Linked DNA regions of Saccharomyces cerevisiae S288C. The protein of the gene in region 2 binds, or shares a complex with, the protein of the main gene of each other region. Each region holds a gene or a part of one and is shown on either strand. Other genes may lie near its edges. A codon is read from its position in the direction of its gene.

Region 1 (3,441 bases), on a different chromosome or scaffold from region 2:
GCTCTTCATTCGCCTTTGTTGTATCTGCCAATCTTTGTAGAAGTTTTTCATTGGACATCAAATCAACGTTCTCCTTGTTGATAAATAAATTCAATAAATTCATGGGAATATTTAAATCACCTAGTTTTAAATCTAATCCTACTTGAAGTCCATCCTTCAGAGGATTCATAATTTCACCAATTAGTAAGTTTGTATTCACTATAAAAATGGCATCAGCAATGATGGTCTGGCCATTCCAAAGAAGTTTTCTCAAAAAGGAATCAAATCTTAGTGACTTGATATGTTTAGAGTTATCAATTGAAAGAAAAAAGCCAAATTTTTCAATCGTGATATCGTTGTTGACTAATTGCGTATCTTCCAAAATGATCGTGACCCCATTGAGCCAGTATTGTGATAATGAAAGAATCTTAGAAATGAAGCCCCCACCATTATCTTCGGGGGTCTCTATAAAAGTTCTTTCTTCCTCTCTTGGTAATTCTTTATGAAGATCATTAGTAGATGATTTCTTGGAATCAATTCGTAGACCCTTGATGAAAAGCTTTCTTTCAAATACAGCAAAACGAACGGATTTTAGCCTGACGGTACCATCTTCTAAGGATAAACCGCATATTTCTAGTTTAAACAGGTTAATCCATGTTATATTTATTCCTAAAAGCTTCCTTAGTAAAATTTTACAGCTCCATAAGAAAGTCACTGCAAATATAAGCCACTTGTACAGTAGAACATTAATCGGAAACATCATCTACATATACCGAGGTAAAGGGCTTTTCTAAGGATTCTTATGTTCTGATCTAATTTAAAGCTGTTTGCTTTTACTGTCCTTTGTAATAGCTACCGTTCTTTGTCTCTGAGATGTCTAGGCCCTTTTAAAAGGGATTTATAGTTTATATCGCATTGAATGGCTTAATTGTCCAACTGCAACACCACCAAGACCCTTTTTCATGTCTCCCTTATTTCCGTCTTAATTTCCATGCAATGGGAAGTATATTTCCCGTGTAACGTGATATATTTGTGATGTAGTTCATGTTTGAGTTACAAGCCAAAAAAATAGGAAAAATATGCAGAACAAGAGTGAACGGGAACAAAAACTTGACAAATTTGAAACTCTGGATATAAAGGTTTTAATTTTATGTTTTTCTTGAGGATCTTCCATAAATTTGATCAATTGAATAAATTGGTAAACTTCACCCAAAAATTTGTTACTCCTTCAATTGTAATAGCGCTTAATCGATCCGAAGCTACTTATGCCAGAATAGATCATATTAAAAATGATAAAATAGATAAGGGGTCTCTATGACACTCTTTTTCCCGGAGCGTTGGAAATGATAGCGGCTATTTTTCTTTTGTCCTTAATATATTTTTCTCCTGCAAAGGTTAGGAAGTATAAAAGGAAGGGCAGTTTCATTTATGCATTTGAATTTTACCTTATGGCTCTTTTTTCCTCCTCCTCTTCAATGTAAATAAATCCTTAAAGATTTTGCTTCACTCCATATCCGTAACCGTTCTTGCTGACATGGTTTTCATACACATAATGTTATTATAAGGGATGCTTCTAGGTCAAAGGGCAACCCGGCTTAGTTATCTTGAAAGTTATTATTTTAGTTTTCTAATTTTGCAGCTGTTTTCAATGAAGAAAACATTGCGCTTACAGATATGTACAGAAGGGATCTTCTTAACCATCAATTTCAATAAGTTAGAACAATATATGTACGAATATAGATATAAATACGAACGTGGTTAGTATATAGAGACAATGGAGCATGTAGATTCCGATTTTGCACCTATAAGGAGATCGAAAAAGGTTGTTGACAGTGACAAGATTGTGAAAGCAATAAGCGATGATTTGGAGCAAAAAAATTTTACTGTACTGAGAAAGTTGAACCTTGTTCCAATTAAAAAAAGTGTTAGCAGCCCAAAGGTGTGTAAGCCGAGTCCAGTTAAGGAGCGAGTGGACCATGTTTTCTACCAGAAGTTCAAATCAATGGCCTTGCAAGAGCTAGGCACCAATTATTTGTCAATAAGCTACGTTCCGAGCTTAAGTAAGTTTCTTTCAAAAAATCTTAGGAGTATGAAAAATTGTATCGTTTTCTTCGACAAAGTTGAACATATACACCAATATGCTGGTATCGACCGTGCAGTTTCAGAAACACTGTCTTTAGTCGATATAAATGTCGTAATTATAGAAATGAATGACTACTTAATGAAAGAGGGTATTCAATCAAGCAAATCAAAAGAATGTATCGAGTCAATGGGGCAGGCTTCATATAGCGGACAACTAGATTTCGAAGCTAGTGAAAAACCTTCAAATCACACGTCTGACCTAATGATGATGGTTATGAGGAAAATAAATAATGACGAAAGTATCGATCATATTGTCTACTTCAAATTCGAACAATTAGATAAATTATCTACTTCAACTATAATAGAACCTTCGAAGCTTACCGAATTTATCAATGTTTTATCGGTACTTGAAAAAAGTAATAACATTGCATTTAAGGTCCTCATTTATTCAAATAACGTTAGCATTTCGTCTCTCCTATCGACATCCCTCAAAAAGAAACTCAACACAAAATATACTGTGTTTGAGATGCCGATATTAACATGCGCTCAAGAACAAGAATATTTGAAAAAAATGATAAAGTTTACCTTTGATTCCGGAAGCAAGTTATTACAGTCTTACAACTCGCTTGTCACATGCCAGTTGAATAATAAAGAATCCAACTTAGCAATCTTTTTCGAATTTTTGAAGGTCTTTCCGCACCCTTTTACCTATTTGTTTAACGCTTACACTGAGATTATAGTCCAGAGTAGAACTTTTGATGAATTGTTGGATAAGATCAGAAACAGACTGACAATAAAAAATTACCCACATAGTGCTTATAACTTTAAGAAAAACCAGCGTCTTCCACTTAAGTTAACTCGAAAAGTACATGATAGATAAATTACCAAGGTCTTTTGAAAGAGTTCGAACAATACAAAGAGATGGCAACTCCTTTGGAAAAGTTCAAGTTGAACCACCTCCGTTGTCTCTATTAATGAAGAAGCCATGAAGTATGCGAAGTTTTAACTGAATCATCTTCAATAATTATGGGATGTCTGGGTTTTAAACGTTTCATAATATTCAATTTTGAAACAATGATCCCAATACTGCTTTTTTTTTGACTAGGACTTGGATTTGGTTGCTGGTGCGTTAGAATTGTTGTCTGTCCTGTTATATTTATACCGGTGAATGAAATCATAATCCCAGCTCTGTCTTTACTTCTCATCGTCCTTTAACTTTGGAGGTGTTACTGTCGTACGTTCCTTCTAGGTTTTGCACGCACTATCTGAGGCGTTATAGGTTCAATTTGGTAATTAAAGATAGAGTTGTAAGATGGTGGATAAAAATAGGACGTTGCATGAATTATCTTCCAAAAATTTCAGCAGAACGCCGAATGGACT
Region 2 (6,948 bases):
GAAATCTCGTTGAGTAGCCGTAATGGTACAATAAAAACGAAAAAGTATTCTCTATTGTGTCAAAAACACCCCTGTATATCCAGTTGTCCCTTTTTCAAGCTTGTATTGACAGTTCTGAATATCGCAGAACGGTTCTCATCAAAATTCAATATTGCGTAACGGACTTATTGTTGCATTTTCAAGTAAATAAGCCGGGTCAGGATGCCCGCCGTAGATAGTAAAAAGTAGGTATAACATGCGCAAGAGCAAAACGGATTTGACAACATATCCAAGTGATAAGTGGTCGTTTAGATACATCATATACTATAACGGTTTGATATTGAGAGCCCAGTTAAAATTAACATCTGTTTTTTGTTTTTTAATTGACATTCAATCATCGGTTGCTTTCCTTGTGAAACTGTACGCGTTGTCTTAAACGAAACGTGTTTTAAGGTAGGTCATCGACAGGTAAAAAATAGCTTATTAGCAGAAGAACGCTAGCGGTAAGATCTGAAACAGGATCGCACAGTCTCAATGAGTAACAAGAGGACATCTGTAGAACAGCTCATATCATGCCCAATTTGCTCTAGAAAAGTCTTTTTTTCCTTAATCAACTCTCATCTTGACATATGTGGCAAGGAAAAGTCAAAGCCTTCGAGTAGGCCACAAACGGTGTCAAGTCTTTTGGCAGGCCCAAAAAAGAGGAAACAAGCTAACTCAGAGAAATTCATTGATCTTGAAAATAAGGACCATGAAATTAAGCCAGGTCTTAAGAGCGAGAGTGATGATATTGAGATTGTTGAAAATGAAAGCAAAAGATTTAAGGCAGCACCATCCACGGATTTTGCGAAATCAATAGTGGAGCCTGCTTCGAGCAGAGATCAACTTCACAACGATTACGAAAGCAGATGGTTGCAGAAAATAAGCCATTTGCCACTTAGTGAAAAATTGAGGCCAAAAGAATTAAGAGATTATGTAGGTCAGCAGCACATTCTCTCTCAAGATAATGGTACATTGTTCAAATACATAAAACAAGGGACTATACCATCTATGATACTCTGGGGCCCTCCAGGTGTAGGAAAGACTTCACTAGCTAGACTATTAACGAAAACTGCGACAACCAGTAGTAATGAATCAAATGTTGGTTCCAGGTACTTCATGATCGAAACAAGTGCGACAAAGGCAAATACGCAAGAATTGAGAGGTATATTTGAAAAATCAAAAAAGGAATATCAATTGACCAAAAGAAGAACTGTACTTTTTATTGATGAAATTCACAGATTCAATAAAGTTCAACAGGATTTGTTATTGCCACACGTAGAAAACGGTGACATTATTTTGATTGGTGCAACGACAGAAAATCCAAGTTTTCAGCTGAACAATGCTCTCATTAGCAGATGTCTGATTTTTGTCCTAGAAAAGCTGAATGTCAACGAACTGTGTATTGTTTTATCAAGAGGAATTGCATTATTGAATAAATGCAGGAAACAAGTATGGAATATTGAAAATCCTTTGAAATTGTCTAGAAGCATACTGGAGTACGTGGTAGATCTGTCGGTGGGTGATACAAGGAGGGCGTTAAATATGTTGGAAATGATCGAAGTTTCAACAAGAGAGCGCAAGGCCGACGAGGAAGAATTATCTATCGATGATGTACGAGACATAATTAAGAACAACAGCAGCAACGGGTTGAATACATACTATGACCCAAAGGGAGATAACCATTATGATACAATCTCTGCGTTTCATAAATCCATTAGAGGTGGGGACGAAAACGCCTCACTGTACTATTTAGCAAGAATGTTGCAGGGAGGAGAGGACCCATTGTATGTTGCCCGAAGAATGATTCGAATAGCTTCTGAAGATATCGGATTACGGGATAGTTCATTATTGCCCTTGGCTGTCGCGGCACATGACGCAGTAATGAAAGTTGGTTTGCCAGAGGCAGACCTTGCACTGGCGCAATGTTGTGTTGCTTTGGCTAGGGCACCAAAGTCAGTAGAACTATATAGAGCTTGGAAGAAATTAAGGGCAATGATGAGCGAGAACATGTACAGTTTAGCAAGCAGTGAGATACCGATGCATATCAGAAATGCGCCAACCAAATTGATGGAGGAGCTGGGTTATCATAAAGGCTACAAGTACAATCCCGATTATATTGAAGGAAAAGTCCAACAAGACTACTTTCCCAAAGAAGTGCTCGAGAAATGTCCAAATAAAACTGACTTAAAGTTCCTGGACGGCAAACATTTAGGAGACAAAGAAGATCCTGACTTGAGACAGTCATATCAGGGTTAGTCAAGGGTCTTCCATACTTCTCTCAATGCCGCGTCTACAATTCATATTTTTTTCTCTGTTGGCCAATGCCGCTTGTTTTTTTACGCTTGAGGCGCATTGCATTGCTGGCACGTTTTTGTGCAGCATGAACGATATAAACTATAATTTTAGATAATCAAGGATCCACCTTTTTTTTTCATGCTAGAAAAGTCTCGCGGGCCCATCTGAGATATATTAGAACATATACGCATCCTATAAGAAGAGCACATTATTCTTGAATTAGTTCTTCCTTTTCCTCGACCTTCCAGCTTGTAAAATGAGCCAGGCTTGAGGAGCATAGATACGCAAAAATGGAAGATAAGCGGAAAAGACGAGCCGCTACACTTAGTACAGCATTGATATTATTTGTGGCATGCTGCGTTTATACACTATATATATTCAAGTTTGATAACCCTCGGTTGTCTCCACCAGTTTCCTTATTGCCTACAATTAGCACCTTGAAGAAAATTGAGCATGTAACAGATTTAAATAAGGAGTACGTTTTTGTTGGTGACGTTCATGGTAACTATGATGAGTTCATAGAACTCATTGATGACAAGATTGGAGGACTAGGAGAAAATATAACAATGATATTGCTGGGTGACTTTATTCACAAGGGCCCGGACTCAGACAAGGTCGTGTCGTATATTCTAAATCACAAGGATCAAGTCAAGTGCGTTTTGGGCAATCATGAAATATTGGTCATGATGGCCTATTTAAACCCAGACTTCTCGAAATGGGTAAGACGCCCCAAATTAATGACACCTTTAACTTTCAGTACGGAGACTAATTTCATACCACAAGACATCTCTAAAATCAGCAACGCACATGGACGGTTAGCTCGCGAACTTGGGTTTTCCAAATTAAGTCAGCTAGCGGAACATTGTTCTATGGCCATAGAACTAGATCTGGATATTACCGGTGATATACTCTTTGGTGCACATGCAGGGATGGTTCCGGGAGACTTCATGAAGCCCAACCAAATTCCGGGCGTGAGCTCTCTGTCAAACATGAAGTACGTTGATAAGAAGAACTGGTCAAAAACATCACGTGAAAAGGAAAACAAGAATTATGTGAGATGGTACACACTGTGGGACAAATACGGAGACCACTTTAGTAACGCCAAAGTATTTTACGGGCACGATGCATCCATGGGACTAAACCTACGGAGACAGACCAAAGGTTTGGACACAGCATGTATAAAGAACAATCTGCTTTCATCTATGAAAGTGAAGTACGATATTAAGAAGGGGCAATATGACTATGAATTAATTCAAGTACAATGCTCTTAAAACAAAAAGTACTACTTAAAAGCGCAACAGATTTTATATAATGTACTATATGAAAAAGATATGAATATTATTATGTAACTCATAATACTGAATCTTAAATTTCAATGAAACTTTCGCTGGAGCTACAAGTATTCTTGCCCAATGGCCGCTACCCGCCTCTTCTTCGTTGTTGAAGTTTTAAAATTTAGCGAGAAAAGAAAACAAAACCGAAAACAGACAACCGCAATCATTTCTTCAACACCCAACATCCAGCACCTAAACACCATCAATACACGTTTTAAACAAAACAAACCCATAGCCCAAAAGGTAGTAAACACAAACCGTTGTATACGCAACCGCCCTACATAAGACACTATTTGCGTACAGATTATCTCAATATGTCTAGTCCAGATGATTTTGAAACTGCACCAGCAGAATATGTTGATGCATTGGATCCGAGTATGGTCGTTGTTGACAGTGGTTCTGCTGCAGTCACAGCGCCATCGGATTCAGCCGCTGAGGTAAAAGCTAATCAAAACGAAGAAAACACTGGTGCTACTGCTGCTGAAACTAGTGAGAAAGTGGATCAGACGGAGGTCGAAAAGAAAGATGATGATGATACCACTGAAGTCGGTGTAACAACTACCACGCCTTCCATTGCTGATACTGCTGCTACCGCTAACATTGCTTCGACATCAGGTGCATCTGTTACTGAACCTACTACTGATGACACCGCTGCTGATGAGAAAAAGGAACAAGTAAGTGGTCCTCCTCTGTCAAATATGAAATTCTATCTTAATCGCGACGCGGATGCGCATGACTCTTTAAATGATATTGATCAATTAGCGCGTCTGATTAGAGCAAACGGTGGTGAAGTGCTAGACTCCAAGCCAAGAGAATCAAAAGAGAATGTTTTCATCGTGTCACCCTATAATCATACCAATTTACCAACGGTAACTCCGACTTATATTAAGGCATGTTGTCAAAGCAACTCGCTACTGAACATGGAAAATTATTTAGTACCATACGATAACTTTAGAGAAGTTGTCGATAGTAGGTTGCAGGAGGAATCGCATTCTAATGGTGTAGATAATAGCAATAGCAATAGCGATAACAAGGATTCTATCAGGCCCAAAACAGAAATAATCTCTACGAATACTAATGGCGCTACGGAAGACTCAACCAGCGAAAAAGTTATGGTAGACGCTGAACAACAAGCTAGATTACAAGAGCAAGCTCAGCTCCTTCGTCAACATGTAAGCAGCACCGCATCAATCACAAGCGGAGGGCACAATGACTTGGTCCAGATCGAACAACCTCAAAAAGATACCTCCAATAATAATAATAGCAACGTCAACGACGAAGACAATGATCTTTTGACACAGGACAACAACCCTCAAACAGCAGATGAGGGGAATGCATCTTTTCAAGCACAAAGGTCCATGATTTCGAGAGGCGCTTTGCCCTCCCACAATAAAGCTTCTTTTACAGATGAGGAAGATGAGTTTATTTTGGATGTTGTGAGAAAAAATCCAACCAGGCGTACAACACATACTCTTTACGATGAAATATCCCATTATGTGCCTAACCACACGGGTAATTCTATTAGGCACCGATTTAGAGTCTATCTTTCCAAAAGACTAGAGTACGTTTATGAGGTTGACAAGTTTGGTAAATTGGTTAGAGACGACGATGGAAATCTGATAAAGACTAAAGTTTTGCCACCATCAATTAAAAGGAAATTTTCAGCAGATGAAGATTACACTTTGGCAATCGCGGTCAAGAAGCAGTTTTATCGTGATTTGTTTCAAATCGACCCTGATACTGGAAGATCACTTATCACAGATGAGGATACACCCACTGCTATAGCGAGGAGGAATATGACAATGGATCCAAATCATGTGCCAGGGAGTGAACCCAACTTTGCAGCTTACAGAACCCAAAGCCGTAGGGGACCGATTGCACGAGAATTTTTCAAGCATTTTGCCGAAGAGCATGCAGCACATACTGAGAATGCTTGGAGAGATAGGTTTAGGAAGTTTCTTCTCGCTTACGGCATTGATGATTATATTAGTTATTATGAAGCTGAAAAAGCTCAGAATAGAGAGCCGGAACCGATGAAGAACCTCACCAATAGACCCAAGAGGCCTGGCGTTCCCACTCCTGGCAATTATAACTCTGCCGCCAAGAGGGCAAGAAATTATAGTTCTCAAAGAAATGTTCAGCCTACTGCCAATGCAGCGTCCGCTAATGCTGCTGCCGCTGCTGCTGCCGCTGCTTCCAACTCTTACGCTATACCAGAAAACGAATTACTGGACGAAGATACCATGAATTTCATTTCCAGTTTAAAGAATGATCTATCCAATATTTCAAATAGTTTGCCCTTTGAGTATCCACACGAGATTGCGGAAGCTATAAGAAGCGATTTTTCGAATGAAGATATATATGATAATATTGATCCTGATACCATAAGCTTTCCACCAAAAATTGCAACAACAGATCTTTTCCTGCCATTGTTCTTTCATTTTGGCAGTACGAGACAATTTATGGATAAACTTCATGAAGTTATTTCAGGAGATTATGAGCCATCACAGGCTGAAAAACTGGTACAGGATCTTTGCGATGAAACTGGTATACGTAAAAATTTCAGTACGAGCATATTGACGTGTTTATCCGGGGATCTGATGGTCTTTCCTCGCTATTTCTTGAACATGTTTAAGGACAATGTTAATCCTCCTCCCAACGTTCCTGGTATTTGGACACATGATGACGACGAATCGCTAAAAAGCAATGATCAAGAACAAATAAGGAAACTGGTTAAAAAGCATGGAACTGGTAGAATGGAAATGAGGAAAAGATTTTTTGAGAAGGACCTGTTATGAGTAATTGAATTAAGTAACATCATTGTTTAACTTATTTTACTCCTTTATTTCACTGATTCACGTTTTCTACTTTGTTTTTCAGTTCAATGTATAATTTATGTAAACTTTTACGTATTTTAATTTTCAAAATTCTTACAATGATTAAGGCGGAACAGTTTTATAGAATCCCATTAGCAAAAAAGAGAGAAGAAAAGGAGGAAAGTATAACGCAGAACGAAGATTCTCATTTTTAACGTGTCTTTTCTTCAAGGATAAAACGCCTAACTAGCAAATAACTGGCGATTAGCAGACTACAATGGACAGTGAAGCAAGTGACATTGAGGCAGAGTTATCCGACAGCGTCTCAGCTGGTGGGGAAGAATACATTGACGATGATGATTATACGGAAGATATTGACGATCAGATAGTCACAGCCAAATCATCTAGAAGAACAGCACGTAGGAGTGTACCTAAGGGTGTAAGAACCTCAAAACGCATTAGAGATAAAGAACTTTCTGTGG

What was found.
Region 1: the proteins of RAP1 (region 2) and RIF2 are in contact, whole or in part, in a crystal structure (PDB 4BJ5), measured with the Saccharomyces cerevisiae proteins. Residues at the interface, in NP_014183.1 of Saccharomyces cerevisiae: Ser692 (codon at 6,038), Phe693 (codon at 6,041), Pro694 (codon at 6,044), Lys696 (codon at 6,050), Thr700 (codon at 6,062), Pro705 (codon at 6,077), Leu706 (codon at 6,080), Phe708 (codon at 6,086), His709 (codon at 6,089), Phe710 (codon at 6,092), Gly711 (codon at 6,095), Ser712 (codon at 6,098), Gln715 (codon at 6,107), Asp742 (codon at 6,188), Arg747 (codon at 6,203), Lys748 (codon at 6,206); in NP_013558.3 of Saccharomyces cerevisiae: His68 (codon at 1,955), Gln72 (codon at 1,967), Lys75 (codon at 1,976), Ser76 (codon at 1,979), Leu79 (codon at 1,988), Gly83 (codon at 2,000), Phe342 (codon at 2,777), Asn343 (codon at 2,780), Thr346 (codon at 2,789), Glu347 (codon at 2,792), Val350 (codon at 2,801), Gln351 (codon at 2,804), Arg353 (codon at 2,810), Ala375 (codon at 2,876), Tyr376 (codon at 2,879), Asn377 (codon at 2,882), Gln382 (codon at 2,897), Arg383 (codon at 2,900), Leu384 (codon at 2,903), Pro385 (codon at 2,906), Leu386 (codon at 2,909), Lys387 (codon at 2,912), Leu388 (codon at 2,915).

The regions. Positions count from the first base shown.
Region 1 is NC_001144.5:1,041,299-1,044,739, reverse strand, and holds RIF2 (Rif2p), read left to right. Parts: upstream 1-1,753; coding exon 1,754-2,941; downstream 2,942-3,441. Other genes in the region: FMP27 (Fmp27p), read right to left, coding at 1-742; GTPase-activating protein SST2, read left to right, coding at 3,374-3,441. UniProt on the Saccharomyces cerevisiae protein: Involved in transcriptional silencing and telomere length regulation. Its role in telomere length regulation results from either a block in elongation or promoting degradation of the telomere ends.
Region 2 is NC_001146.8:237,725-244,672, forward strand, and holds RAP1 (DNA-binding transcription factor RAP1), read left to right. Parts: upstream 1-3,964; coding exon 3,965-6,448; downstream 6,449-6,948. Other genes in the region: ssDNA-dependent ATPase MGS1, read left to right, coding at 514-2,277; PPN2 (putative serine/threonine-protein phosphatase), read left to right, coding at 2,607-3,587; IES2 (Ies2p), read left to right, coding at 6,744-6,948. UniProt on the Saccharomyces cerevisiae protein: Essential regulatory protein in yeast whose DNA-binding sites are found at three types of chromosomal elements: promoters, silencers, and telomeres.